4 linked regions of the Lepisosteus oculatus genome follow. The main gene of each other region encodes a partner of the protein of the gene in region 2 in a complex. Links are inferred from orthologs where the notes say so. Each region holds a gene or a part of one and is shown on either strand. Other genes may lie near its edges.

What was found.
Region 1: seh1l (region 2) and nup37 share a complex: the UniProt entries of both Homo sapiens proteins name them as parts of the nup107-160 subcomplex of the nuclear pore complex. The link is inferred for Lepisosteus oculatus from reciprocal best matches to the Homo sapiens genes SEH1L and NUP37.
Region 3: the proteins of seh1l (region 2) and wdr59 are in contact, whole or in part, in a cryo-EM structure (PDB 7UHY), measured with the Homo sapiens proteins. The link is inferred for Lepisosteus oculatus from reciprocal best matches to the Homo sapiens genes SEH1L and WDR59. Residues at the interface, in NP_112493.2 of Homo sapiens: Asn308, Tyr309, Met310, Asn312, Lys314; in NP_085058.3 of Homo sapiens: Pro713, Asp714, Glu716, Thr717, Pro718, Arg721, Arg837, Glu840, Gln843, His844, Asn847.
Region 4: the proteins of seh1l (region 2) and mios are in contact, whole or in part, in a cryo-EM structure (PDB 7UHY), measured with the Homo sapiens proteins. The link is inferred for Lepisosteus oculatus from reciprocal best matches to the Homo sapiens genes SEH1L and MIOS. Residues at the interface, in NP_112493.2 of Homo sapiens: Met1, Phe2, Val3, Ala4, Arg5, Ser6, Ile7, Ala9, His11, Lys12, Asp13, Leu14, Ile15, His16, Asp17, Val18, Phe20, Phe22, His23, Gly24, Arg25, Met27, Trp47, Ser173, Ser174, Ser175, Asn230, Leu231, Gly232, Arg233; in NP_001357005.1 of Homo sapiens: Arg279, Arg316, Ser317, Phe353, Glu354, Arg355, Ile356, Ser357, Leu358, Ala359, Trp360, Pro362, Leu366, Met367, Trp368, Ala369, Cys370, Gly371, Arg372, Leu374, Tyr375, Glu376, Cys377, Thr378, Glu379, Glu380, Glu387, Asp389, Ile390, Ala391.

What each region holds. Positions count from the first base shown.
Region 1 is NC_090702.1:54,841,451-54,848,573, forward strand, and holds the start of nup37 (nucleoporin Nup37), read left to right. Parts: upstream 1-4,109; 5' UTR 4,110-4,263; intron 4,264-7,123. Other genes in the region: parpbp (PCNA-interacting partner), read right to left, coding at 45-215, 1,420-1,530, 2,185-2,418, 3,370-3,519. UniProt on the Homo sapiens protein: Component of the Nup107-160 subcomplex of the nuclear pore complex (NPC). The Nup107-160 subcomplex is required for the assembly of a functional NPC.
Region 2 is NC_090705.1:9,368,355-9,375,578, reverse strand, and holds the start of seh1l (nucleoporin SEH1), read right to left. Parts: upstream 3,004-7,224; 5' UTR 2,822-3,003; coding exon 2,711-2,821; intron 1,780-2,710; coding exon 1,729-1,779; intron 1-1,728. Other genes in the region: ptpn2b (tyrosine-protein phosphatase non-receptor type 2), read left to right, coding at 6,712-6,768. UniProt on the Homo sapiens protein: Component of the Nup107-160 subcomplex of the nuclear pore complex (NPC). The Nup107-160 subcomplex is required for the assembly of a functional NPC.
Region 3 is NC_090715.1:16,379,775-16,386,969, reverse strand, and holds the start of wdr59 (GATOR2 complex protein WDR59), read left to right. Parts: upstream 1-4,193; 5' UTR 4,194-4,245; coding exon 4,246-4,299; intron 4,300-5,492; coding exon 5,493-5,542; intron 5,543-5,916; coding exon 5,917-6,052; intron 6,053-6,509; coding exon 6,510-6,595; intron 6,596-7,158; coding exon 7,159-7,195. Other genes in the region: RNA-binding protein NOB1, read right to left, coding at 1-147, 707-853, 1,695-1,766, 2,402-2,535, 2,898-3,030, 3,518-3,586, 4,035-4,037. UniProt on the Homo sapiens protein: As a component of the GATOR2 complex, functions as an activator of the amino acid-sensing branch of the mTORC1 signaling pathway. The GATOR2 complex indirectly activates mTORC1 through the inhibition of the GATOR1 subcomplex.
Region 4 is NC_090705.1:3,822,341-3,830,036, forward strand, and holds the start of mios (GATOR2 complex protein MIOS), read right to left. Parts: upstream 3,015-7,696; 5' UTR 2,955-3,014; exon of another isoform or gene 2,937-2,954; intron 2,901-2,936; exon of another isoform or gene 2,878-2,900; intron 2,526-2,877; 5' UTR 2,462-2,525; coding exon 1,165-2,461; intron 732-1,164; coding exon 633-731; intron 1-632. UniProt on the Homo sapiens protein: As a component of the GATOR2 complex, functions as an activator of the amino acid-sensing branch of the mTORC1 signaling pathway. The GATOR2 complex indirectly activates mTORC1 through the inhibition of the GATOR1 subcomplex.

The sequences.
Region 1 (7,123 bases), on a different chromosome or scaffold from region 2:
CCCGAGCCTATTGCCAGAGACAATGTCCTCTTTTTGCCTCCTACCAAGAAAAGAGACGTTTGTTTGTCGCGTGCTGCATGCTTCAGATCGGTGAAGGCAGCTCTTCCAAGGCCTCTGTCAGGAATGTTTAGCACATGGGCCACAGCCAGATCGTTCTTGGAGTTCAGCAGCAAGTTTAAGTATGCACAGATTAGCCTCTTCATCACTTTCAGCAACTGCATTGGAAAGAAATGCAAAACAAACGTTAAGTTCAGCCTGCACAAAACGGATAGAACATCTGTTTTCAAAAACAATAACGCAGCAGCTGTTTTAGGAATAAGGCCGAAGAGAGAGTAAAACCGTTCAAATGACACTTAGAGATAGGAAAAATGTTTTTCCAGTTATCAAATAAAAAAAGGCACCTTGAAGACTATAGCTGGTGAAGGCCACCCCACCCAATTTAAAACAATCTAAAATAACATTGTTCATTGCCAACCTCTACTGTTAACCAAGCAGCCAATACTTTACAGTTCAAAGACCCTGCACATTTCTTTCAATAAGCCCATCTACATATTCACAGTGCATTTAGAAAATTGTTCGTTTTAAAATCAAGAATGAAAGAGCACACTGTAGCCACAAATTGTTTGCAATGCATCCTAGATGTCTGAAAACGTACTCATAAATCACCAAGCAACCAATACCTCCCCCCATCATATCAGAGAACACAGAACACACACACATCAAAAGCTACTAACAAACTTAAGCAAAGGCTGTCCCATCCATTGCTTGTAACTTCTAATTAAGATCATAAGAGCTTAAGAATTACTCCACGGACACGGATATTCTTGCTGTAATCATATGTCATTTTATAAATCCTGCTAAACTAGATCCATTTGCTCTCATCAGTCAGGGCAATAGGATTTAACTTTCTCGTTACTGAGGGAGCTTCCACTGAAAACACTGGACAGGAAGAGCAGAACACGACGGAAAAAAGTCCTCTGAAGACCTATGTTCTTGTCAGTTTTACGGTTTCACAGTCGAGAACACTGTGTTCTTTGGCTAACCAAAGTTCAAATCTATTACGTCAAACAAGGCAGATAAGACTAAGGCACAAGTACTCCATGTATTGTACAGAACCACGATATCAGATGCTTGCTGAGCAAATCGTTAATATGTATCCAATTCCTTGACGCGTGGATCCTATAGCAGGTGTCCAATATCATTTTTGAAAACTTAGAAAAACATTACGCTTGGATCTCAATTTTATTGATTCAAACACTATGAAAAGCAGGCACGTTTGTTGCTGATGACCACAGGATTTGAATTTAAAATGTCAACTATCTATCGTGTCATCTACATACAATAATCACAATAAAATATTACGAACAACGGAAAAAGAAGAGTGGCTGTCTTCTGGAGTCAAAACAGCACTAAGTGTACCTGGGAACTTGTCCATCGGGGCCTGCTGGATGGAGTCGATGGAACTGGAGGGACAAGGTCAATCTGATCGCAGTATTCAGAGTTACCTGACAGAAACTCAAACAGCTGGACCTTTTTCAAAGGAGAGAATAATCACCAACAGCCAAGATTCCCCTAGTACAATCCCACCTGAAAATCTGGATGCCAGTCAAAATTCAGGATCGCAGGGGAGCCACGGCCCATCCCAGCAAGTAACAGGCGCATGGCAGGATACACCTTGGATGGGACGTCAGTCTATTGTAGGGCCTCACAGACATGCCTACTTAATGCAACAAGCCAATCAACCTACCAGTACATCTCAGGACTGTGGGAGGAAACCCATGCAAATGAGAGAACATACAAACTCCACACAAATAGCACCCCAGATCAAAAACTGAAGTCAGCTCCCCAATGCTGAGCACTGTGCTACCCTACCATCAATTCACAACATAATCTGAATGTAATTTTTATTAATGACATTTAGAAAATGGACTTTTAGAAATGACATTTCTAAATTCCAAAACATTTAGAGATGAAGAGAAGTCAGCCCTGAACCAGTTTTATTTTACAGAGGTTAAGGAGGTATTCTGGGGGATGAAGGGAGTGATTGTTTTAACACTACATAAGCCATGACTTAAACAGCACCTCAAAAAGTAAAGGAGCCTCAGAGGTCACATTGCACTAAAGCATTGCAGAAGATTTCCTCATTTATATGTAGCAAGCAGGATTCCCAACAGGGGTACTTACAGCTGCAAGGCGATTTTCTGGATCGCTTTCTATTTTTAACTGCTCAGCCATCCCAAAGATGTCAATCAAGTCTACAGTATTCGATCTCTTCAGGAAGGAGTCATAGCTTTTCCGTATGATGTTGTAATTCTCTGGAGCATGTGAACCTTCATGGAATAAGTTCAGTTTATCCTTAAGTAAATAAGCCCAGGTGACAATGACTTCACTCAGTGAAACAGCAAATTCTCCTTTCTCCTAAATGGAAACAAGAAGGGAATAATATGAACCCAGTACTCATGTTCATCTCATGTAATGTATTATCTGGTTCATGTCTTTCATTTCATGCATAGAACTGATTAAGCCCATTTATCTGTCCCCCCCCCCCTATCATAGCAGAATGATGATAACCTTATGAAAATCTTGTCCACATAAAAAAGGGATTTCCTCCTGGATACACAAATGTTTTTCATCAATGTGTTGCAATGCTGTTCCCTCATCCGCACAGAAAGCCAAGCTGACATAAAAATAACTATTAAAGCTGTTAAGTCATGTGCTCCTCATGGAATCCCAGCAGGTACTAATCCAGTTACACATTCCTCAGATATTACAGGGCTCTGTACATCTAGCCAGGGAAAGATTCCTCTGAAGAGCAGGGCCACATTATTTTAGACCACAGAAATTAAAACCGTAACTAGTGCGTCTTCTAACACAAATAGGACTTGACTAAAACTAATAGGTTCGGCAGCGCATAACTACAAGTATGTGCCGTACACACTTTTTCAAGAGGAGAGGATTAAATTTCCTGCAACCTGGTGTCCTCTGCACAAACCAAAAAACAAACTGAGAAAAGATGTCAAAAACACAAAACAAGTATGGGAAAAGAGCACGGCACACTGAATGACTGGGGTACAGAAGGCAAACTCTTAGCACCTAAATCTCCAGTCCTGGTGTTGGTAGGTTTTTGTCCAGATACGTATAGTAGGGTGCATCAGGGGTGAACACTAACATACTTATTTGGATTCATATGGAGACATTCAAGATTTGGATTTGAATTTAGTCTACATTTTATTTTCTCTATGAATGGAAGGTTGACTGCCAGTGTGAGGACAGGCACATGACGTCAGAGCTGATCACAGAGTGGATTAGCACTCAATGAAACTCCTAATGTTCACGGTTAGAGAACTACTTCGTCGTGCAAAACCTCACCTGTTTGTTCACCTCGGCCATGACCAGCTGCAAAGCCGTGAACATGTCGTCTGCATTGCATATCGTTATCCTCTCGGACCCGAGCAGCCGGTAACAGTCTCTCCTGAAGGCTTTCACCAGGACCTTGAGATTTTGTTGAAGAATCGCCATTTTTTCTAGAAACCAAACGGGGGGATACTTGTGAACAATAAGCACATACATGCGACATAAAAGCGATGTTTCTGTTGGTGGTTGGTGGTGATGGCTCCTTTGACTGATCGAAGACGTACAGTTATGAGTTGCCTAACCAGCACTACCTAATCCAACTAGATTGGTTTTAATTGGGGGTCTGTGTACTCGCAATTTTATAAGACAAGTGTTTCAGTTTTCAGCGTCCTCGTGTTTGGAGAGGCGCTTTATAAATAGAAGTTGTTATTATTACTAACAACAACACCAATGCGTTTGAAATACAACGCATTCACACTTCAAACTTCAGAAAAGCAACATCAAAGCCAGTATCAAACAAAACGATCAAACGCTTCAAACCTTACTTAAAGTATAAGGGGAAATAACCTTAAGATACACGTTAAAGGCAGCTTTAACATATTTTTAAGTACCTGCAAGTCCCTGTGTCAACAACCGTGATGCTCTCCCTAGGGAAGCTGTTTCAGAAAATGTAAAAAATTTAAAACTCCTGACAGCAAGACACTGGCCAATGAGAGGGGGCAACCTTTCACCCGGATATGATCCTGGGGAGCCAATCAGATTGCTGGAAGCAGAAAACAGACTCGCGCGGGTTCTCTGTTTCTGCGTTGTGCAAGCTGGTGGTACAACTTGAGTTTAACACGAAAAACCACTGAAATACCACCAACGTGTTGGATTTAGCGACCTTACCCGTGTCATTCCGATATCCTGGTAGGTACGCTGTTAAGCTGTTGTGGAAAAAGTAATCATATGAACGAGTGACTTCACTTCACTTATTTTCAGTGTAGGGCAATATATATTTTTAGTATTGTGAGGACTTTTAAGAAAACAAAAACATACGAAATAAGTTCAAATGAAATGAAATTGATTTGTACTTTTATATTAAGGAAAACACCCGGCGGTTGATGCATGCCAGCATGTTGATTGCAGGGTTTTATCAGAGCACATTCTGTATCGGTGCAGGTATTATCACTCGGGGCAGCACATGTCGAGCACAACTTCATTTGTGTGCGTTGCTGACTGCTGTCGCTGTTTTAGTCCTCTTGTCTCCACCCAGAGCACATTTCGGCTGAGCAGCAACCACGTTGCTCACTGTGCTGTCAAACCATCCCGTGAAGTTTCAACGAATTTTCTTCTTAAGGCTTCGAGCATATGGAGTTCAGTTTGACTGCGCCGGGTTTCGAGTCTTTATCAACCAGTTTCCCTTCGTAAGCTGCATGCAGTAAAGACTGGAAACATATTGCTCCCTTACAAACGTGCTTAGTTTTTTTTCCCCTCTTCAACCAGTAGAACCAGTTCCTTCCAGTCCCCGTGAACTGCTTCAACTCAGTGACATCTGTGGGTTTTCAAGCATAAACTGCCCGTGACACAACATTTAGGTCTGGACTTTGACTAGGTCTGGTGAGTCCGTACTGTAGGTCTTCTGTCCAGCTGGGGTGATATTGACCTGAATCAAATCGCTGCTGGCTTAACTGGACCAGTTTACCAGCTTCTCTCTTCAGTCTTAGGGACTGCAGGCACACTGACAGCCCTTGAGGACCAGGACTGGGGAGCCCTGCAGTGCAATACCCCCGGACCTCTGTGTTTCTCCCCCATACCGTGTTGCTGGAGTCTCAGACAGTGATCCAGGCTGATTTCTGTCTAAATTCCACTGTTTCTTGGTACCCTGGGATCGCTTTGGCTATGCAGGCATTGGCTCCTCAGCACGTCTTATGTAGTTCACACTCCGTCACGTGAAAAAGTAGACTTTCTTGTGGTTTCTTGATCGGAGCCATCCAAGTTATAGTTCCTTCTCCGAGAATCATGGTAACTCACTTTTCATTTGACCCTTTCCCTGTTTTAGGAGAATCCCCTGCTGTAAAAGAAAGGGAATCTGACACCAGACATCGAGAAATTAGAATTTTGTTCTCTTGTCTGCGGGAGCACTTGTACTATTCAGAAACAACTTGAAATGCGAACAAGAGGCACTTCTTTACACAAAGAGTTGTTGGAGTGTAGAACGAGCTACCGAGACATGTTGCTGAAGCCAATACCCTGACTTATTTCAAGAAATCACCAGATTTCTTTCATTCAGACCCCTGAATGGCTAAACATTTAACACCTAGATGGACCAAACTTGTCTTTTGTAACCTTTCCTATTTTCTTACTAAAAGTTATCTGTCGGCTGAATCTGGCATCAGAGGGAGAAATATTAGCTCATGGTTTACGTGATTTTTCTTTTTGATCAATAATCGGTATGATTAACAGGTTCCCCTGTGTGTATATTTAAAGCCATCACATACAATCCAGTTAAAAATAGTTGTCAGATCATAGCAGGATAAAAAATTCCACTCTGCATATCCCCGCTTCCAACATTTTTCCTATATAGAGATCAACTTTCATAACGCACTTAAGTCCATTTAACTTTTCCACAGTTTTTTTTTCTTCAACTCCAACAAAGCAAGAAGTGCCAGAAAATAGAATTCCTGTGTGACAGTCGTGGTCCCATAGGGGGAGAAAGTCCTTTCCCAATTTCCCTACGCTCAGCTGTGCATGTTGATCTCTCTGCCAAGGTGGTCATATGGATCCCAGAATCCACACTCCAGCAGGTTGATAAGTAGAACATAATTCCTCAGATGTGTTTGTAACCGACAAGTCATGGTAAATGTTACAAACTAAGCAAATATGTCATGTCAGTTGCTGGCAGTCACATAAGGAATAATCTAAGCACATTCAAGTGTGTTCATGTTCCCAGATTTGTGTTGTGGTTGTGTGATTTTGCCAGATTAATTATTCTGCTGTGATTGCAGTATTTAAAGCATGCATTATACCACAGAAAATAAGTGCATTAGAAAGGTTTATGTTTTGTACCATGGAGAGAAATTGTAAAGCTGCGCTTTACTCAAAGCATTGTGGGTATCCGAAACAGGCTTCACAGTCAGGTTGTTGTGGCTCAAAGTCAGGTCTCCTCCATCAAGCTGGGAAGAAGCTTGATAAAATTTTAGGTTTACCTAGATACCAAATGAGCAGAATGGTTGGAAAGGCCATATTCTTATGTTCTTCAGAGCATTCTCGGCAGAAAATGTAGAAATAATCAAGTAAAAGTACAGTGCCTTACAAATTCAGATGAAAAGTGTTAAATACAATTTGCATTGAAGATCATCTGGTAGTTGTCATTTGAATTTTTTTATTCAAGTCATGCTCAGATCTACAAATGATTTTTTAGTCTTTGAAAAGAGGTTTCTGTACCTGACTGAGGTGATGTTCTGTTGTTTATGGGCTCAAATGTTTATGACCTATGTCCCCTGTGGTTCTTTCCTGAGGCTTTCAGATAGCATTAGTGGTTTATGGAATGGGGAATATTGGATTAAAAATGAGAATCTAGGCAATTTAAAGCTTTTCAGTACCTTAAAATAAGTGCTTGACCAGAGTGGCGCCCTACACTAACGTGATAGGTCTGGGTAAACGGAGCTTTGATCCTGTTACAGCTGTGTCAGCCTGCTTTTGTACATGTGAATATCGGAGAGAGGAAAAGACGTGCAGAATACCCCCCTGTGTGAAAGTCTTCACTTAATTCTTGGCTGCAGAGACC
Region 2 (7,224 bases):
GCTGAGTTGGTCAAAACTAAATTGTTCAGAAAATGAAAAATCAAGCTACAATCAAGCTACCTGCTCAATTGTGGCTGTACAAGACCCACCCCTGTGTTATTCATACCTTATTTCTGACAATTTCAAGCAAATCACAAAGGAACAGATGGAGGCTCTGCGATTCTACTTTCCAGAGTGACCTGCTTTGTAATACGCTGATCTCAACACACCCCTACCTAAATCAACACATATTGCCCCTACATTAGTGCCTGCCCAATTTTCTTACATCATGCCTCCTCTTTTTCTGTCATGTGGTGTCCCGCTCCAGGATTGCTGGTGCCATTGTTTTGGGAGAGTACCAGGAACATCACAATGTATAACCTGAAGGACACTTGTAAACGAGAACCCCAATGGAAAAATCGTTGGTGGGGACATGGAACACGCTAGGCAGCCACATTGTAGAAGGCGATACCACCTTTCAAGAAAAGGCAGAACGAGAACTTTCATGGAAAAATCTCTACAAACTATTAAAAGAGCTGAGAGGAGAGAAACGAGAGGAGGCCATTCGGCCTTTCTCAGGTTATGACAAGAACTGCCTCCTGTTCTCTTTTTCCAAATACACTTCCAACCAATTAAGAGGCGAAACTTTTGATATTGCCCGTACACATGGGCTTGACAGAAAAAAAGGCTGTTTTTTTTTTTATAGAAGGAACTGAGGAACTCCCCAAAAAAACCTAACAGAGGTAGAAGAAAGACAATTTCGACAGGATGCAGCAGAACAGTAGAAGCTGCAAGCATTTCTCAGTCTTCTGCTTCTCAGGCCTGAACTCATTCAGGCCGTTGGAAAAAGTACTTAAAAGCAAAACACCACAACCTTCTCCCACAGCCGGGAAGCTTAAGAAATGGCTTTCAAATGTACAACACCACAGTCTGCTCGACCCAGGCTGCTGGTTAGTGAATTCAACAGTAGCAAGATCTGCGCTGAATCTAGTCGTTGGTGTGTGTACTGTATAGAACTGTAGCTCTGCGTGATACAGAAACCTCCTCCTCGGGTTTCTCATTCCAACTCCCCCCACACACATGCTCTCAGATGGAAAGCCTCTGCCTGCGGTGGTCGTGGTGCTGTTCAGTGTCTGCTTTACATTCCTTTCCATTTTTCTGAGAGGACAGATTATCTGCCAACCACGTTATGAACCATAACTCACGAAGGTCTTTTAAAAAGAAGATTCGCTTGAATAAATGAATGACTGGCAGGCTCCCCTTGGAGATGGGAGATTTAATGAGAGCTCTTTATGAAGTCTGACCACATATATTAGCACGACTGAGAAGAATCAATTTATGAAGGGTAGGGTTGATGTTATAATGCTGGGCTTCGGCCTGTGAGAGGAAGCCAGAGGACCCAGAGGTAGCCAACAGAAACACAGTGAGAGAACCTACAAATTCCACGCAGGCAGCACCCCAGGAATTGAACCCAGGGCCTAACTGCACTACTGAGCCTCCACTCGATCCAGCTTTTCAGAGCCTATATTTAATTACCTCAGGTCCCCAATTTGGCAAATGATCCAAGCAGAAAGAGCAAGAAAAAATATGCAGCAGAGACAAACCAGGACATGATGCAGGGAAAGGCCCTTTGCCGTCTTCAACTAATTCCTGATCTACAGTGTCGTAGGCGAATGAAAACACTTTTATCAACACATTCTGGGCGGAAGATTAAAAAAAAACTAAGCACTGGTTTTGAATAATCCTCACCTTCCAACTGGCTGTGCAGTGCCATTCTCCGTTTTCACTTTTGTCCCAGACCTGAAACAATCACAGAATCAGCTCTTGTAAATATTCTCTGTGTATTTTGTTTATCTTTCTATAAATAACACTATTTTTTGAAAAATAAACATCGATTTTTGCTAATGGGATCAAACATTGCCCAGTCTTTCCAGAAAAGCCATGAAATTGTTTTACCGATTTGGAAAACAATAATTAAATAACTGGCTCAAACTCATCCTTGGCTTGAACATCTAAAAGCTTTGAAAATCATCTCTGCATGGAATGTTAGACAGCAGCAGTAAATACTAAAATGTCAGGATGTTCCGCAATACGTCTCAAAGATTTATATAGCTATGTACAAGCTACGAGCTAATGTATTAAGAAAAATAATTTGGTTAAAATCTGTTCTACAAGTGTGTGCAGCTAGGGGGAAATTAATGAACCTTTATCTCGGTGACATAGTAGTAGTAAAATATACCAGCTATTAATCTTTTAATGATGTATTACTTGTGAAGCTTGAACGTCTTAAAACGATAGATTTAAATAAAACACTTGAACAAGTCGTACTATTATACGTCTTCAAGTGGCGCATTGAGGACTTCATAGAAGCAAACGTATACTTGAGGGTTTCTGATATAGTATAACCTGCTAAACCAAGGCTTTATAAAGGACTGTATCCGAGCTCTTCGTGGTTAAAGTATATGTGTTCCCAGCCCAGAGCGGAAAACTAAATTCAAACCCCAATGCAAGATAAATTCACTCGTGACATTCACAGACCCGGCGCCCAACTCTCAGGCCTACACAGCCCGTTTGTTTACATGCTGCAACGCAGAAACGCTTCAAGCCGATTGCTTCGTGCAGCTGTTAAATTTACGCTTCCTAGCACGATGGGTACTGATTTATTGACAGGACTCCTCGGCGTTAGGATGATGTATTCATCTTTTTAAAAAAAAAACTCGCATGGAATTACCTTGACACTCTGGTCGCTGGAACAAGTCGCCATTCTCCTGCCGTGAAAATCGTAGGAAACATCGTGGATCAGATCCTTGTGATCCGCCGCAATGCTCCGAGCGACGAACATCGTCCACCGGCGCTGTTCTGAACTCTTCAAAGGCGTGTTTTAAAGCGTTACAATTCACCCCAGACTTTATTTTTTCTAATGCAACCTAGATTTAACTACATGTGAGCGCTGCACCTACGTTCTCCAACCCATTTCTGGCGCCTGCCTTCATGAGGTCATTGCAACAGTCCACCACAAGATGGCACCTCGGGCTATTCCTCTGTTATTTCAGTGAGAAGTGAGTTTAATATGAACACATTCTGGGAAAATCCGATTTTACAACCCCTCAATTACAGTGACCCATGTAGCGTGTGTTTAGTTATTATGCACCATGATTTTATTTCCCAATAAAAGCAATTCCCCCAAGTTATCATTTGATGTAAAAAACATCTTTTACGAAGTATTGTGCAATAGCACAATATCACCCTGCAACTCACAACTGGCAGCCCACTGAAGCTAAGCAGGTGTGAGCCTGGTCAGTACCTGGATGGGAGACCTCCTGGGAAAAACTAAGGTTGCTGCTGGAAGAGGTGTTAGTGGGGCCAGCAGGGGGTGCTCACCCTGTGGTCCATGTGGGTCCTAATGCCCCAGTATAGTGATGGGGACACTATACTGTAAACAGGCGCCGTCCTTCGGATGAGACGTAAAACCGAGGTCCTGACTCTCTGTGGTCATTAAAAATCCCAGGGTGCTTCTCGAAAAGAGTAGGGGTGTAACCCCGGTGTCCTGGCCAAATTTCCAATTGGCCCTTACCAATCATGGCCTCCTAATAATCCCCTTCTATGAATTGGCTTCATTACTCTGCTCTCCTCCCCACTGAGAGCTGATGTGTGGTGAGCGTTCTGGCGCACTATGGCTGCCGTCGATGCTGCACATTGGTGGTGGTGGAGGGGAGTCCCCATTACCTGTAAAGCGCTTTGAGTGGTAATAATAAATTATTATTATAACAGTTCTTAAAAGCAAAGCAAATCTTCCCAACACTACTAACACTGCAACAAATCAGATTTTATGAGCGCTTTCCAGGAAGCTTAAAAAAAAACTGAACATTTAAAAAATCTTAATCGGATCTGCGTTTTGTCAACACAAGATCCATATGCAGATTTGATCAAATCATACAGATTCCACAGTTCGTTAATAACCTCATGATTTTGGATGAAGATTGATTTAGACATAACAAAAGAGAAGTTACAAACGAGAGAATAACAGCCAGCCCATCTAACCCGTTTGGTAGTAACTTTGAAAAAGAGGTAGCCGAACAATGAAACGATTTTCCAAATGATTTTTAGACTTAAAAGCACAACCTAAATATTCTCCCAAATAATGCGTTAAATATAGTTCAGTTAAAATGCTTCTATTGCTTCCATATGCTGTACTTTTTAAATGTGGATGTCTGCGGTGATGTTTATACACGTGTACTTAAAAGGGATGTCCGGCATTGTAGCTGTACAGCAGCGCGGAGAGGTTGTAATGACCACGAGTCAGCCACTAGAGGGCACTCAAGGCATAAAATGCGCTCGATGGCCACGATGCACTCACGCAGTATAAGGGTAAGGGATCACAGGTGATCATGTGGCAATTCCAATGGGGTATTCAAATTCCTGAAAGCCCCTCACCACCTCAGCTCTGGAGCTTCATGACTCCATGATGAGCAGCAGCAGCACCACAGTTGTCCAGGCAGAGGAAAATAACAGCAGGAATCTTGAACACTCCTCTTGGGGAGGGGGGCAGGACAACAGCATTAACATGGTAGATGAGGCCTAGACAGATACTCTATTGTCCACTACGGTTGTTTTTGGATTCTCCCACAGAAGTACAAAACACACAAGCAAAACATAAGAGTCAAATAGTCACAACATCAGTATGTGATACATAAATAAATGGGTAGTGGGGGGGACTACATTTACATACATTCACTGACACAGACGTCTTATAAAAGTTTTTATTTGAAATTGGTACCCTGTACCGTCTCTCTGAGGGGAGTATTATGACTTGAGAATGCAGAGGGTGGGTGGAATCAGCTGTAATGTTCCTCGCCCTTCTGAGAACTGTATTGTGATATAAATCGCTGAGCTGGGGCTGCTGTTTTCCAATTATTTTTCCGAGCTCCATGCCACACAGAGAACATAAGAACGGCTACAAACGAGAAGAGATGCCATTTGGTCTCCCTAGTTCGTTTGGTAGTTAATAGTTAATTGACACAAGGATCTCATCCAACTGCTTCTTGAAGGAAACCAGGGTATCGGGGAGCTTGCTCCACACCCCCGCCACTCTGGGAGTAAAGGAGTGCATCGTGCTCCCAGTTTTAACGGCATGTCCAAGTAGTTTCCACTTGCGTCCTCAGACTCACGTTTCTCTCTTCATCCCAAAGAAGTCTGCTGGATGAACCAAAGTGAAAATAATGAGGAACCACAGTTTTCAAATTCCATCAGAATAAGAAAAACATCACAACCAGTTCAGTTTGACTAATGCCAGACACTGTTAATGTGTATTAAGAAGGGTTATTGTTGCAATTGTTATTCTTATTAAAAGATTAAACTCATTTTTTTTTCCATTGCCTGGAAAGCTGGATGAGAGCTGTCAGAAAATACTATGTATTTGCTGGTGGTTCCAGATGGCAGTCTGATTGCACTGAGCTCATTGCTGAGTTCTGATTACACCTGAACCTAATGACATATCCCAGACCCTAACACTAAAACTAAGCACTCCCCAGAAATATTCCCAAACACACTGGACTGTGTCTAACACAGTATCAACACCATCATTACACTAGTGAAAGAATAAGATCCAAGAAGAATAACTTGTGTATTTCAGGTTTCCTGTTGACAGTTAGCTTTAACAGTTTTAGCAGCAATTGTTTCTGATAATTGTTACACATATATTAAATATCTGTAAGTAGCCATTAGAGGATTTTCGATCGCTTGTGTTATTCTCGGCTGACCTGTTTTCTTTTGTAGACAGTTCACTTAGAAAAATAGCACATGCAGCTACCGTCTAAGGTCAAGATTTCGTATTCTCCTGAGGGCTATGTTTCATGGGTTCAAGTTAAAAAAAAAATAACGCGAGGGCGAAAGAGCAAATAACTTCCCACGATTGATCACCACCCTTAAAAGGCTAATGTTCATTTCAGCAGCTTCCAGATGGGCAGGCACGATACCGGCACGACCCTGAAAAGCGGTAGTCGCCAAATGCCTCATTCCGTCAATGAAGTTTTGATTTGTGTCGTAAAAGGGACACGCCACTTCCCGATTCATCTGAAACCGAGTTATAACCTTTTTGTCAGACACAGCTTGACATTTTGCGCGGTTCACACAGCGCCGGTCTTACGCCCATCTCCTTTCCTTATTTCTTCCAACAGTTTTCAATACAGTCATGATGCGTGACACGTTATCGTTCATCGGGAGGCAGAAGAAGTAGGTAATAGAGAGCGAAGTTTTTTTTTTCGCTGCGGTTTGATGTTCTTGAAAAAGCGGCAAGAATATTGCAATTGTAGGCGGCGGGGGGGGGGTATATATGTGTGTCTGTGTGGGGTGGGTGATTAACCTAAAGCCTACACGTCCAGCTAAAAATACACCTGTCTAACCAATGACATTCATTCCGCCCGGTGTCATCCCTGGGCGCCAGACCTCCCTCCGCCGTCTCATCGCACATCCGACAACCTGCCTGCGCCTCCTCTCGCGCCGCAGCCCGAGCAGCGAAGGGCCCCCCGCCAGTGCGCAGGCGCGGGCAGAGGCGCCGCTCTCCGCGTTGATGTCAGTTACACGGACACGCAGTTTGTTTCGCCGTGTTCCGGCAAATGGCTCGGCTGGAGGATGTGTAGCGACTGAAGCCGTGAACGCCGACAACAACTGACTCAATTTCTACGTCCGCGGAGAAGGGAGGGGGGGGATTGGCACCGCACCGGCACAGCAACGATGGACCAGGAGTTTCGGGACATGGACTCGGCGGGCCGGTGGCAGAATTTGTACTTCGTAAGTCTCAACTCGCGTTTTTCGTTACCCCCTCTCCGCAGCAGCTGTGCTCTGGGAGACGTTTGAACGCCTAGCTTCCGACTTTCCTCTAGGAAGTTCCTGGGCCGCAGCCTGGCCTCGGCGGCGCGCACCGAGCCCGCGAGTGGTACTGCGCCTGCGCCGCCCAGACCCGTGGCGGCGGTGCGCATGCCCTGCTCGTTACCAGGAATTGCGGGAGCGCGCACCGGAGGTTTAAAAGGAATGTAGTAGACGCTAGAAAATTCTCCTGGATATTTCAAACAGCGATTTAAAAAAAATAACACCAAAAAAAAAAAGCTTCGCAAACATTGGACGTATCAAAAGCGTGTAGTGAGTGTTAGTTTTGTGTCTTAACCTGAAAGCAGGTTCTCAGTAGTAATCAGATAATCATATTTCGCTCAGTTCCAGCTGCGTAAAATAAACTGACGCTTTACTGCT
Region 3 (7,195 bases), on a different chromosome or scaffold from region 2:
TGAGCCACTCTCCGCCTCCTCCTCCTCTCCCACGCTCCCCGCTGTCCGGGACTCCCCGCAGCACTGATCCGCGGAGACGGGCGCAGGCTGCAGCTCATCGACAGTCGCTCCCGCTGAACTGCACGCGGCCGAGACCGTCTCGGCGTTCTGCAGAAAGACAACAGGCCTCCTTACAGCCTGGACAGCCGCAGCAGGGAAGTTCCAGACCTCGTTCAGCCTCGAGGCAGTAACACATAACCCAGCAGACGGATTCCAAAGCTGTTCTATAATTTACTCACGGAGTGGCTGAAGCAAGCTGATCAGCCATGTAGCTGGACTCCTTCAAGGAACGGCTGGAGAGTCTTGGAACAATACCAGCATGCTGGACCCAATGGCCTCCGCTTAGCTGTAACCTCTCTTACATCTTATGTTGCCAAATACAAGGTAGCCAGGGGAGCTGGAGCCTATCCCAGGAAGCTATGGTTGCAAGGCAGGATACACCCTGGACAGAACACCAGTCCATCGCAGGGCACACACAGACACAGACAGCACCCCAGGAACCGAACACAGGGCCCCAGTGCTGAGAGGCAGCAACGCTGACCACTGCGCCACTGTGTCCCCTGCCTTAAGAAAACATTAAAATGGTAGAGAAGGCATTAGAAGTAACATTTGGACTGCTGCTGGAAATGGAGAACAGGCATCCACTCCAGCTCTGTCCAGTCCTCACCAGTAACTCCAGCAAGTCAGCTTCAATGCTGGGCAAGGGGCTTCTCCAGAACTGGAAGGAGTTGAACTGGGCATCGTCTGGGGAGCTGGAATTCTGTGACTTGGAGCAATTTGGTCTGACTCCTACATTCTTGTCTGAAGTACCTTTCTGCAACAACAACAAAAGAAAAAAACACTTAAATCAAATATTGTCCACTATATAACCTACAAACAGGACTTCCCCATCCTGTTCCTGGATATCCTTGTATTTGCTGGATTTCCTTCTAGCGGAGCTTAATTACTTAATTGAAGCCTTAATTGAACTAATGACTTGCTTGATTGGAAATGTTGCAATATTTTCCTACTCAAAATTCTGACACAAGCTTCTTACAAAATGTGACAGTTAAAAGGCAATCTCCATTTTTTTAAAAGCTGATGTTAAAAATAAATCACATGAATCCAGTTATTAAGTCAATTAAGGTTCAATTGTGTAACTCAGAACTCAAGGTTTATTTTAGACCTCCAGGACTAGAATTGGAATCTCTTGGCCTGCTGTGTGGAAGTGTCCATCAGGAAACTGGAGCAAAATAAAAGTTGGTATCCTTTGCTGTTAACTAATTTTTGTGACACTTTTATCAGCAGCAATATTGATTTGTACAAGTGAGAGTTTTATTGGAGCAGTCTGAGTGAACTGCAGTCTGCAGTCCCACAATCTTCCAGCTATAAATCCAGGTCTCTAACCACTGTTTTGCACTGTTACTACTCTTTCCAGGATTGACGATCAAGCTAAATGCAGCTACTAAAAACAAACCTGCAAAAATGAATTTGCTTACACAGACTGTTACCTCACCTCATCATATCTCGGGACACTTAAACTGGAAAACAAAATTAACCCTACAGCTTGAAGGAGAACACTGAGCAGCTGGCCATGTCTGTGTTAAATATGTTTGTGAAGACCAGTCTCTATAGGTCCCAGCAGGATTCTGGTCACAGTGTCCTTGGCCTCTGACCTTAGACGGGATGTGGAATCCAGCAATGTTGACGGGTGCCTCTGGGTGTCTCCAGGTGCTGCACACTTCGACCTGAAACACAAAAATATAGGTTTTACTGTTTTATTCATTGGTTGCCAATAGGAAAGTTGTCAAACTGCAGTCTGCGCAGGACCCATCTGCTTTGGGTCTTGAAATCAGATGAACACATCAAACCCAATTTAGCATCTGCGCTCTCACTGCCTGTTAAATTTAGAGTAAAATTCAAAATTCTGCTCGCTTTTAGCCACTGACATTTGGTTCTGGTCATTTTATAGTTCTTATTCCACTCCTGACTCTGAATCAAGTGTTCGCGTGACGGGATTCTGTTCCCACTGGTCCCAGGCCTTTACTCGCCGACAGAGCCGCCTGTGTGCGTGTGGAAATCCACCTCCTCCTCACCCGGCTGAGCGCTTCACTGCAGGCACTACTCCCAGCACCAGTCTGTGGCTGGTGTGGGAATTTCACCCACGAGCCCCCGGGCACAGCTGCCGAACCCGGGCTGTAGAGCACTCCGCCTAGACACGCGAGGAGCTGTGCCCGCACTGCTGTGTGTCTGCCATGCACATTTTTATCTTTCTCTGCACGTTGCACAGCACTCCGGGACGCATTGACACACGAGGTGCTCTTGCGAATGAAAATTATGATAAAACTATTATAAAACCGAACAGCCGCCGTTTTCTTCTTACTTTCACTTCTGGTTCTGTCTTGAGGTGGGCGACGCCAAGGACCTCCGACTCCAGCTGGTAGGTCAGAGCCAGCACTTTAATGTCCGTCGCCGAGAGGCTTGGGTAGTCTCCGGTCTTTTTGGAGAATTCAGTCACTGGAATCAAAAAAGCAAGAACCAGGTGAAAGAATCCCAGTTGGAGAAATTGATTCGTGCACTGCCTGTGGAAGCCCAAAGGGGCATTTATTATAGCTAAGATTCTTTTGGACAATGCTGATACATCACAGTTCTGATCTACTGTACATCCTCCCAATGAGAGAAGCAAAAAGTGTAACAGTCTCCAAACATTTTAACTATTTTTATGGCATTGGCTATAACTGGTATTTTAACCAACTGGCCCAAGCCAAAACAGGTCCAATTTTGCTAATCCATACATGAACTTTGGCATAGATAACACTCTGACATGCAGAAGGTAGAGTTATTGCCAATAACACCAAAAGGCCCAAACATTAACTCACCAATTTGAATGAATTCGGGAAGGGGCTCCTTAAACTGCAGTTGATACGGCAGGAACGCCAAACTGTTCCTGGTCTGTTTGTCCCGGATTTCATTCACCACCTCTTTCACTGTGTAGATATTCTTCCCAAAGTCCTAAAATAGGGGCGACAAGACTTGTCACATGGGTAAAGAGTATATTTAAAGTACAATCTGGATATCAGACGAATCTTAATTTTGATTAGGAACAAGTAATAGGTTTATTCCATGCTGAAAAGAGAAGAAAGAAAATAAACCTATTACGTGTTTCTCTGCAGCCTACGCATGCTGACGCAGCTACCCACCTTAAATTTGATTAGTTCGACATCTAAATCTCAACACCTTAGGAACAACTGAAGATCCTTAAGAGAAAATGGCTACTAGTAAAAACCATTCGAATTTTAATATCTACAATACGGAAGAATAAAAACTACCACGCTATACCCCTGAGCCACTTCTCCCAGTGCGATAGCAGCGCACCAACGCACTCACACCTCCGCTGTCCCAGCACGGCACACCCCTGATTGTGAGCTCTTCGGTTCTGTCTGTACACGGCTAATACAGAAACAACATCCCTGTGCGCTCCGCTCACTCTCTTTCTCACCTGCAACGGCGCCTTCTTCAAAAAAGCTCCAGCATCCGCGACAACATGCTCCACCACGGCAGAAGACATCTTGAAACAGTTGCACAACCAATCAGAAAATTGCTAAATTTGCGCAGGTCAGAGGATTTCACAGAATAACAAAAGAGTTTGCCCCCTGTCGGTGGTGTTTTGCACTACCGAAAATGATCACGAGTCTGTTTACTTGGGTCAATTTTAATCAAATAAAATACTCTTTGCATTTTTTATTATAATCTACCAATAAAGAGGTATCTAAATAGTGTTTGCAATGATGCGATATTATTGGTAATGATGCTATACGAATATGATTTACCTATCAATAATAGCACCCTGTGTTCATGGTATTTCTTATAACCTACCTATAGCTGCCGACCTGTGTCAATTCTCATACATTTCTAGGTTCATCAGTAATACATATTTGCATACATTATCTGTAGTGAACGAGGAGGATGGACAAAGTGTAATTACACTTTTGGGGGTGGAAAGGAACTTCACCCACCATTGAGTAAAACACAGCACATAGCTGATTTCAGGAGGATACCGAGGAAGAGTTATTTTAAGAACAGCGCCATGTGATCAGTATTGACCCGGAAGTCAAGACCTTATGTTCATCGAGCGCAGCGAACTCTGGGATATAGGAACGCCCTATGGAGCGCCGGCAGCCGTGTGACGTCACGGTGTTGTTGTTATGGTGCTGAAAGGGAGGCAAGATGGCGGCGCGCTGGAGCAGCGAGAATGTGGTGGTGGAGTTCAGAGATTCACAGGTACTGTGGGTCTCGATCACGGGAAAGCGATAGATCTGCTGGTCGTGGTCGTGGAGATTTAGACTCCCGACACAACTGACCACGTCGAGAGCGTTCGCAGGAATGAGGGTTTTCTGTAACTTAGGGTTGTCACTCAGTCAGTTTGCAGTCAGTGCAGAAACCAGGAGTTTTGCTTTATCTCTTTAGTCAGCAGTTTAACACTGCGAAGAAGGGATGCATCAATGTTTTTAAAGTTTAACCTTTTCCTCAGTGTTAGGAGGCGTTCACTTTTTAGGGGACATAAAATCGAATGGATTCCGGGCTTCGATAGTCGGAATTGAGGATCCTTGCTCTGAAGTAAACATGATATAATGTTTTATTTGTAGAACCCTTCACTGAGTGACAGTTGGAAATTGTGGCTTATTGTTGGCTAATTGTGGTTATTTTGGTGTGTTTTATTCCAACCCCCCTCCCCCCGCTGAGTCAGCAGATCAGATGTGAGATCTGCCTCTGTTCTCCAGTTTGACCCCCAGCTCGATGCTGGCTAACTGACCTGTCTAATTTTCGCCTCCCACATCCCTGCTCCGTTAAGGTTGCATTAGGAAATGTATTCTTGTCTTGCGTATAAAGTACTGTAGTACAAGTATGTTTAATAGCAATTATCTACAGTGTGGTGAAGAACTGTAAAGTTATGGTTGCGTTAACATTGCAGTCAACGCTGAATGTTAATTTTGTGATTTTGAAGAGTATCCGAGAAGTAGGTGTCTATTAAAATAGCGTTCCAATTTCTCAGATTAAACCTTAACGATTCATCTTATTCAAAGCAACTTACAATTTTACTTTTGAGGTGTGAGTGTGCAGTTGTGCCTTACATCAGTACTCCACAACATAAATGTGTTCGTAGAATATCAAGAAAATCTTAATTGTTGTACCCAAAACAGGTTGATTTCACGTGGAACCTTTAATTCCTCTCAAACATTTTTATGGAATGAATATGTAATCAGTGCTTTAACTAAATTAATTCATTAAATACAGATCGCTCAATTTACCTTAATTTTGCCTATTTTCTGTTAATTGTATGACAATAATTTGGAACCTTTTGCTGCTCGTAATGGTGGGAACATTAAATCCAGCTGCTTATCAATTTACTAAAAAAACAAGGACAAAATGATGTTTATGGATTGTTAGTCATCTTTTATGTCCTGTCTCTGCAGGCGACTGCGATGTCAGTGGATTGCCTTGGCCGCCATGCTGTGCTGTCTGGGTGAGCTCTCTCATCAACCTCCAGCAGCGGCAGCCAGTGATGATGCACCATGAGAGCCACACTGCCCCTGTGGGCAGTGTTTTATTACAGCAGGACTCCGCTTTGCAGTACAGCAGTATACCTTTCGTAGTGTGGAGGGGTGCATTCTAGTGCATTGTACATAGTGAACAAAATCTAGATGGTGCGGCACTGAAGATTCAGAGTGGTGTGACACTGTTTTAGAGCTTCTCGGTAATCTATTTTATTTAAGGAAAAGTGAAGAATGTTGTCTCGACCTTTTGTAAAGAAGGTATCCGGGGTGGCGGTGTGTCCGCTCGGTGTGTGGTACCTGGAGCCGCAGCAGGTGTGAACCGTGTCCTGTCTGCGTGTCCCAGGCGGCGGTTCCTGTACATCGTGAACCTGGACACCCCCTCCGAGGCCCCGCGCAAGATTGGCCGCCAGAGCAAGTGGGACGTGGGGACGGTGCAGTGGAACCCCCACGAGTCGGGGGCCTACTTCTTTGCCGCCTCGGTGAGACTGTGGTGACAGGAGAACCAGACGAGATCGTTTGCCTCAACCTTTACTGCATCTGCACCCCCTTGGTTCCCCAAACATGTTCTAGCACCCCAGATCAAAGTCACTGAAGCAGTTTGGTTTTTAAATCCTGTGGTATTTAGTAACTATATAATGAAAGAGATAGAACTATATAATTTTTCTAAAATAGTTAAGAATATTATGGAAGAATTCAACACCCTTTTAAGTTTATCTTAAAATGCCAAGGTTTGGTGGAACAAAGTAGTTGTGTCTATGTGCCTGTGCTTAATTTGTGTTTTCAGTGATCCACCTTCTAAAAAAACCTTCTGTCGATGTGTTGGAAGTAAACACAGGGCTGGTTGATTTTCACTGTGACAGTGCTGAGAAGCACAGCCCAGGTTTCCCTGCAGTGGTTCAGTGCCAGTCTGACCCAGAGGCCTTCTTGTACTTGCAGAGTAACCAGCGGGTGGACCTGTACAAGTGGCGCGATGGCGCTGGGGAGATCCACACCTCGCTGCAGGGACACACGCGCGTCATCAGGTGACAGGCCGGTGGTTTGGGGTAGAGTGCTGAAATCAACAGAGAGAGTCTTTATTATTAGTATTGGTGTACAGACAGAACAAAAAAAAGTCAGGAACAACAATATACATACATATTTGCATAAAACATCACATGTTGAGTATTGATATGGCTACAGGTTATCCCCCTTTCCTGCCATAACTTGAGCCTGTTGCTTAGAAGTCCCTTCCTCTTGCAGAAAGGAATCAGTTAACCCCTTCTTCACATCTTGTATCTTTCTTCACAGTGCACATCACATAGTAGAGTATGTGTTATATATTGTGGCCAATGTGACCCACTTATTTGCTTTTTCATTGCACTATTGATAATGAAATCATAACTTAGTCTTGTGCTGCTTTTGTACTTCACAATGTTACATGGGCAAGTATAATTCAAAGGATCCTAGTGGAATATGCAGGACATGCAGGAGTAATGCACTAGTATCTGCTAGCGTGGTGTGTGTTAATACAGCAGAAGCCCAGTCCTCTCTCTCTTCCTGCTTTCCAGGTAAATGGTCTGACAGACGTGTTGTTTGTGCCTTGCAGTGACCTGGACTGGTCGTGGTTTGATCCCGAGCTCCTC
Region 4 (7,696 bases), about 5.5 Mb from region 2:
AAGCTTTCTTTCGGATACCACAATCTGTCAGTTAGCACTGGTCAACAATTTGATAGAAAGCAGTGTGATGGGACTGAAGCTCAAATGTCTGCCAATAGTTTCAAAGAAGTGTTAAAGAAGAGTACGGGCAGCTATGACACCCCAAAGCCTCCCGAGAGCAAGACTAGGCCTATTTCCTGTGCACGGAGCATAATGGGGAAAGAGATTACAAAAAATTATAAAATTAATTAAAAAAGAAAAAATTCATGTGGACAGCACTATCTCACACGCAATACATAAAATGCACCTTTTTAATTGTAGCTCCTCAACACTTACACTGATCATATTGTACTTGCTGCCCATAGAATCTGGTCCTAACGCTTATCTACAGGCAGCTAAGCTACTTCACTGCACAGGTTCATACTGCTTTCGTTTTTTTCTGTTTCTGCACTGTGGTAACATCTTTAAAACACTGCTGGACCTTTTAATGAAACGCCAATGACTTAAATTGGGCTTTTGGGCACTTCTAAGAAACCGTATGTTCTATTGCAATCACTATTAGAGAAAAAGATCGAAAGGAAGAGGAGACCAACTCAATCATAAGACACTGCCAATTCGGTGTGAAGTGAAAAAGTGTGTTAAAAATGTCTTACCTGAGCTTGACTTCACTATGTTTTTTATGCCTGAATAGACAAGAGGCAATCTGTTCCCCAAGTTCTTTTGTTCCAGGTCTTCAGTGTACTGTTTCATAAGTGGTTTATGCATAGGAAATTAACACTGAAATAAAAAGTGCTCTGAACCTTTAAATACAATTAAATAGAACCTAGAAATACAATTCAAAAAGAAAAGTAACACATTATACATATATATATATAACTTTTTATGCTTTGTTTTACAGTCTCTGTAATTTGGATTTAAGAGGATATATTACAGAAAAACCACACATCGGAGACTATGATGGTTCTGGCAGGGGGGAGTTGGTATATTACTGAGCTCCAGCCAATCAATCAGTCTCTCGACAGTGATCTGGGGAATGTTGGCTGTTTCATTAAAAACCGCAACACAGAGAGGAAGGGACAAGCAAGCGATGCTCAAGTGCAGAGCGATGCTCACAGCAATGTGGACTCAGATGCAGACAGAATCACCGGGCGTGTCACAGATCACCCTTTTTACTATAAAGGATATAATACAGAGTGTACCAGAGAGATTTCAGTTGAGGATCATCCCCACCGGCTAAAAGGTGGTTCCTCCAGATCTGCTCAGTGTCATGGCCATATCTGGACTGCGCTCGCTGCCTCATTTTAGTGGCAATGTCCATTTCGAGGGAGCCGGCCTCTGCCTCCTCCGTGCAGTCGTACAGGTGCCTGCCACACGCCCACATGAGGGAGGTGCTGGAGCTCCAGGCCAGGGAGATGCGCTCGAACACCGTGAAATCCGTCATGCAGCGGTTGGGCGACACCACCACCATGCGGTTCTGGCTGGATGGGTGCCACGCAAAGGAGCCGATGACGTTCTCGCACGGCTGCACGCTCCTCTCGATGATGGTGGGCTCCGTCTCATCGCCGAGGGGGGTCGGGGTGTGCTGCATGTCGTACAGACGGATGACGTTGCTGTCTCTGGTCAGGGTGGCCAGAAGTCCGGTGCGGGTGGGACACCAAGCCACTTTGGTCAGAGGTTTCGGCTGCTCGGTTAAGGTCAACACCGGCTTTTCGAATTTCCGGAGATCCCAAATGGCCACCTGGCCTTCGAAAAAGGAAGCGACTCGGTCATGGAAATGGGGGTCAACAGTGACCCCCTGGATGGCCTTAGTGTTGACAAACATCTTCTGGCTCGTGTTTCGCAAGTCGAAAATGGCCAGGTTGCGGTGCATGCCGGCCAGAAGCAGCTTCTGGTCCCGGGGGAGCCAGCAGAGGGACAGGCAAGCGTCATTTTGACCCAGCTCGTAGAGGGGCTTTGTCACCACGAGGCCTGCGTCGGTGTCGCCAGCCGAGAGACGCAGTTTCTCGGTGGGGACAGAGGCTTCGGGGGCAAATTTGCTGCTGATGTCCCAGATCAATACAGAGAAGTCGGCCCGGTGCTTGTCAAGTCCGGCGGCCAGCCAGTTGCTGTCCACAGGGTTCCAAGCCAAAGTGTTGCACTGCCTGGCGTGCTTCGGGACGAACTCTTTGCCCATTAATTCCTTGCACTTGGTGTTGTGGCTCTGCCCAAGACTGGTCAGCACCACGCGTCCGTTCGCTTGCCCCACCGCAAGCAGGCATTCGGGCTCAGGCCTGGGGTACCAGGCTACACATTTCATGTACGGGGTGTCCGAATTGATTGCCAGCAGCGTCGCTGCTGTCTCTCCCGAGAGCTGGAGAACTCCGGCTTTGGTCTCCGCGCTCCCCAGCGACGCGATGCGATACAAGCTGAGCTCCGAGTCACAGATGACATAGCGATCAACGTGATGGGGAGACCACAGGATATCGGGCTTCGAGGCACTCATCTTCCTGGGCGAGTAACAATCACCGCTGCTCCAGTGAGCTCAAGATCCAGGCATCACTGGATCACTTGGGGGAAACAAATACAACAACTAAAATTAGGAAAAGTAACGTGTTTTCCCAACTTTTATTATTATTTTATGACTGGATTAAGGGAACGTGACCAAAGGACGGCAGCTACTATGTACCGCGCTTGCAGAGAATCGTGCACGAAATATTAACTCTTAAGAAATCCGGACAACCCGAAGCAGGGAGGAAATACCTGAATCAAACCATGTTATAACCGCAGTTTCTATCTAGAATCATAACCTCTCACGTGAACACAAAATGATCTGCAAACTTCTGAAACACGCTACTGGCAGCTCAAGCTAATAAACAATTAAAGCAAATCCTTTCTCCATTAACAAAACTATATGCGCACCATAACGATAAGCCACCGCGACAAAATGCGAAACGCACAAAGTAACAGTTGCAACTCACGATGTTTTTGTTTCTTACATTAAAGTAGCATCGGGCACCAAAACAGTCCTACACCAAAATGATTCCCCGGGAAACAAGTTACGTGGCAGGCAGTTCTTGCGCAGGACTCGAGTTAAATTATACAGCGCCGCTTACCGCATCGCGCTTGAATGTACGCCCAATATGTGAATCTAAGAAAAAGAAGTACCAAATAGCGTATAATGTTAATAATATATGTAGTTTAGCATTCTTCTACACATGATGTGTCTTATAAGGAATACTGTACAAGTCGGTGAATTTTAATAATAAAAATAATAAGGAACAAGTAATAGGTTTATTCCATGTTGAAAAGAGAAGAGAGAATAATAATAATAATTATTATGATTATATTGTGCTATAACTTATAGTGTTTTTCCTGGATACTCCATTCAAAGTGCTTTACAGGTAATGGGGATCCCCTCCACCACCACCAGTGTGCAGCCCCACCTGGATGATGCACCAGTCCTCTCCCCACACACCAGCTCTCAGTGGAGAGGAGAGCAGAGTGATGAAGCCAGTTCAGAGATGGGGATTACTAGGAGGGCATGACTGGTAAAGGCCAGGGGCAAATTCGGCCGGGACACGGGGGGACACCTCCACTCTTTCCAAGACACACGCTGTGTTTTTAATGACCACGGAGAGTCAGGACCTCAGTTTTACGTCTCACCCGAAGGACGGCGCCTTTTTACAGTATAGTGTCCCCGTCACTCAGGCCACAACTAGGACTCAAGAAGACCGCGGGGATGAGCGCCGCCTGCTGGACTCTCTAATACCTCTTCTAGCAGCAATCTGAGTTTTTCCCTGGAGGTCTCCCATCCCGGTGAGCTGTGGTAGCTCAGGCAGCAAGGGTGTCTAGTTCTTGACTGGAAGGTCTCGGGTTCAACCCCAGGTAGGGGTAAGTGATTTTGCTTGCTCTAATTCCTTCCAGACGGCTCCCAGGTCCACTCAGCCTGCTTTCCAAATGAGTACCAGGGGGTTAATCCTTCTGGGGGTAACAGGCCAGCTGGAGTGTGATGCTGCCACCTCCAGTGTCAGATGTTTGAGAAAAATGGTAGCCCTTGCCCCCCATGGGCCTTTATGGCCCGAAAAGGCACCTACCTACCTCCCATCCTGCATCACACCTGCTGAGCTTCAGTGGGTTGCCAGATGTGAGTTGCAGGGTGATATGGCTGCTGGCCATATCAAAGTCTGAAGATATGGAAACAGTTTTTTTCTCTTTAGTCTATTTTAAAATCATATTCCAGAGTTTAGGTTTGTGTCACATCCTTCCTTTAGCCCGTTTTTGGCGTAATGATAATAGATATAGGAAACTTGCTTCATTGAAAAATACACACACGTGATTTCCACTTGAAAGCACAACTGTAGTAAACCCTCCCGTTAAACTGTTCCGGTAGTAAGAGATTTTTGAATGATCTGTATCATTAGACTCTGTAATTTGTGCAAAAGCAGCATGTACTGTGTACACTTGAATAATCACGTGTCACAAATTCCTGGGAGCTGGCAATAGCTAGTGTGTACTTGTAGGAGTGGGTGTCTCATCACCAAGTGTTAAAGGCTTGTTTTATTAGATTCGAATTACTCCCCCAGCAAAAATGTTCTCCCGTCACAGTTTTTAAGAGAATTATGACAATCCTCCTCTTCATGGGTGATTTCAGTTAACGATATGCAAGAGACAAGAATCTAGGCGCATGTTTACAATGGGATACTTGTTTTTGACGTGTAGAAAGATATGCAGACGCAGTGCCTTGTCTAGTTTTAAAATAAGCATGTTTCTGTTGCTTGGAGCTTAGAGCTCGGAGCAGCGAAGGAACAAGGGAAAGTAAACTCCACGCTGAAATAGAAAAAAAACACAACGCTGAACACAAGTCATGTTTTCATCAGAAATAGACATCACAACTTCTTTTTTCAGAGCAATTTTAACCTCTAATGTTCCCTTTCTATTGTTTATGTCATTCAGGGGTCTTTTCTTGAGGGATGCATTTTTGTTACTTACAGAATATTCTTCAACATTAATAATGACCTTTAACGCACATCCAGATAAACATGTTTAAGTAATGTATATTAGAAATCAACATAAAAACATCATTATAAAAATCCTGGGGTTTTTTCAGATCTGGAAAGATAATTCTCAAAGGGCTTCTGGAAATGTTTCAAATTATATCTATTTTTTCTTTAACTTCAGCTTTTCTGGTGGGAGGGTTCATGATGTATGAGCATAACAGATATCAAAGCACAAAAGGGCTTCCTAGTACGAAATTCTAGTTTTAGTCATTTGTTCTTGTGGGAAGTTAAAGTTTTTCAATTTGTCAGATCTGTCTTGGAGTAGGAGGTGGAAAATAGCAAAAGCCAAGTGTCTGTGGTAGCAATTAAGTGTTTCCGAGAGTTCTCTGATTTTGGAATAGCTCGATCCTGGCAAGGCACATAAAGATACTTAAGTTGCTGGCATAAACCCTACAAAAGATTAAAATCAAAGAGACGATCCAGGCCAATGTATCTCATTAGGTTGCTAGTAGCTAATTCATTTGAGAACTTAATTGTGTTGCTTTTGAAAAAAAGCCACTGTATCACCTTCACCTGCCTGCCTGGGGTAGCTTGTTCCATACACCCACAACCCTTTGTGTAGAGAAGTGCCTCCCGTGTCTCTGAAGATCCTGTGTGTTCAACATGTCCTCTTGCTATTCCCCGTCTGCTCTATCACACATTCCGTGGTCCCACGGGAAAAATATTCTGGACCTTTGTTCCCAAATACTTATCCCACATGACTATAAATATTTATTTTTGTTAAATTTAGGTGACATTTAAAATATTTGGTCAGAAGTGCATAGACATTATTTTCTAAAAGGGAGTGTGAATTCTGAAAGTTGCACGGCTGCACATCACCTTCTAGAGAGGATTCTGAAGTAAACTCTACTTTTGTGGTGTCCACAGGAAACTCAGTACTTTTCCTCCCAAAAGAAGAGAGTCTCGTCATAGTTAGGAGATGCTGTCTAGTTACGATTCTGAATTTGTCATTTTGCACTCTTTCAAGAGCCGGGGAGTGAAGGCTCAAAACTAAAAGTGTTGAGAATATTATAAAATTCATTCATCACCCTTTGGCAAAGCACCTGGTGAGGATATTTTTTTGGAAAGAATTTTATTTAAAAAAAACGCAGGTCATTAGCTAAAGTAGGGTACATTCATAAAATCTTCAGAAAGTAAAGCAAATGTAAATGTTGGGAAAAAAATCAGCTTTTATACCAGCACTCTGTCTAGTATCTGTTCACAAAACGAATATTTTGGATTGTCTTTTTGAAAATAAAACACAGATCTTGTATCTCATTTCATACTGAATGGTGAGGGAATTTTGCTTCTAGCAGTGCAGCTGTTACATGGTGGCAAGCCTTGACAAAGTAGTGTTTGTTAATGCATCTGCATCTGTACCTTGACAACTTTAGAATAATTGTTCCAATATTGTAACAGGTAATGCTTGTTACATCAAGCGGTTTAGGAATGGCAGTATGAAAGAGCTTACCATTCATTCTGATTATTTCTATTTTAATACTGCTTCTATTGTTATTACTACTGTATCAATGAATTGTGGCAAGTGACACTTGTTTCTTTCTTCCGAAGTTTTGTGAGCATAAATAAATTAAACATGTTATCCAGTCAGGTATTTAACGCATATAAAACACATTCTGGTGATTCCGCATTCAGGTAATACCACAGGGGAAACTTGAAGTTATGGATTATTTTTCATCATTAATGATGAGCTTTAACGCACAGCCAGATTACAACCCATTTGCTTTAGAATGAAAAAAGAATAAATGAAAACACTATGAGATGAACTTGTCAGGAAGCAAAACAAAGCACAGTATAAAAAGGAGACACCTGCCATAAATAAACCTGCGTAAACCACTATGGTCAAATTGGCAAAATTGAACCTTTACACTTTGCTGAACTTTCGATAAGAAAAGTTTAGTAGAAAGCTGAGAAATATGAGCACAAAATATCCTTTTTAACATTTATTTATGTAATATTGATGGCTTATGTAGTCTTAGCCGTGTTCATATTCCTGAGTGTGTATTAATATTTAATTAACATTTTATGTTGGCATCATTTGGTCTTTTTATTACATCTGGTGTGGAAAGTTGTGCTTCACACATTGCTGTTATCTACATTTGAGAGAGGAGCACTGGAGATTGACAGGGCATTTGGTGGTTACTCCAGATCTCATCGACTGAATGCTGGCCAGAATGTCTCCAAGGGTCAAAATGTTGCAGTTGTTGTGAATGGACCAGTTGTATGGAGTCCAGCTGCTTGGATCCAACTCCAACTAATTCCTGCTTTTTAGAAATAATTGAGTTTATGGTGATTTTTTTTCAATAAAACTGAATGAAAAAAAAAGACATGGTGAAAATCAGCTGCAACTCAGACAGGATTACATGCTACAAAGGTTTCCAAAATGTTCATGTACTGTACAGTAAATGAGACATCAACTTTTCTTTAAAAATGGTTTTAATTAATTTTACATTTCTGTGCATACTTTGGTACCATCTTGTAATTTCATAATTTATTGCAAGAATCACAGTTTGTGCCATCTTCAGATCATTTGTCTTCTTTTTATACAGTATATCTCATTATTCAGTCCCTGCTCAGCTAATTTAAGACAGGTTAAATCTTTTAAGAAAAGTGTTAAAATGTTGACTGTCATTACTCATGACCTAACATTTCTAAAATACCCTTAACTTGAAAAACGTTTCAGA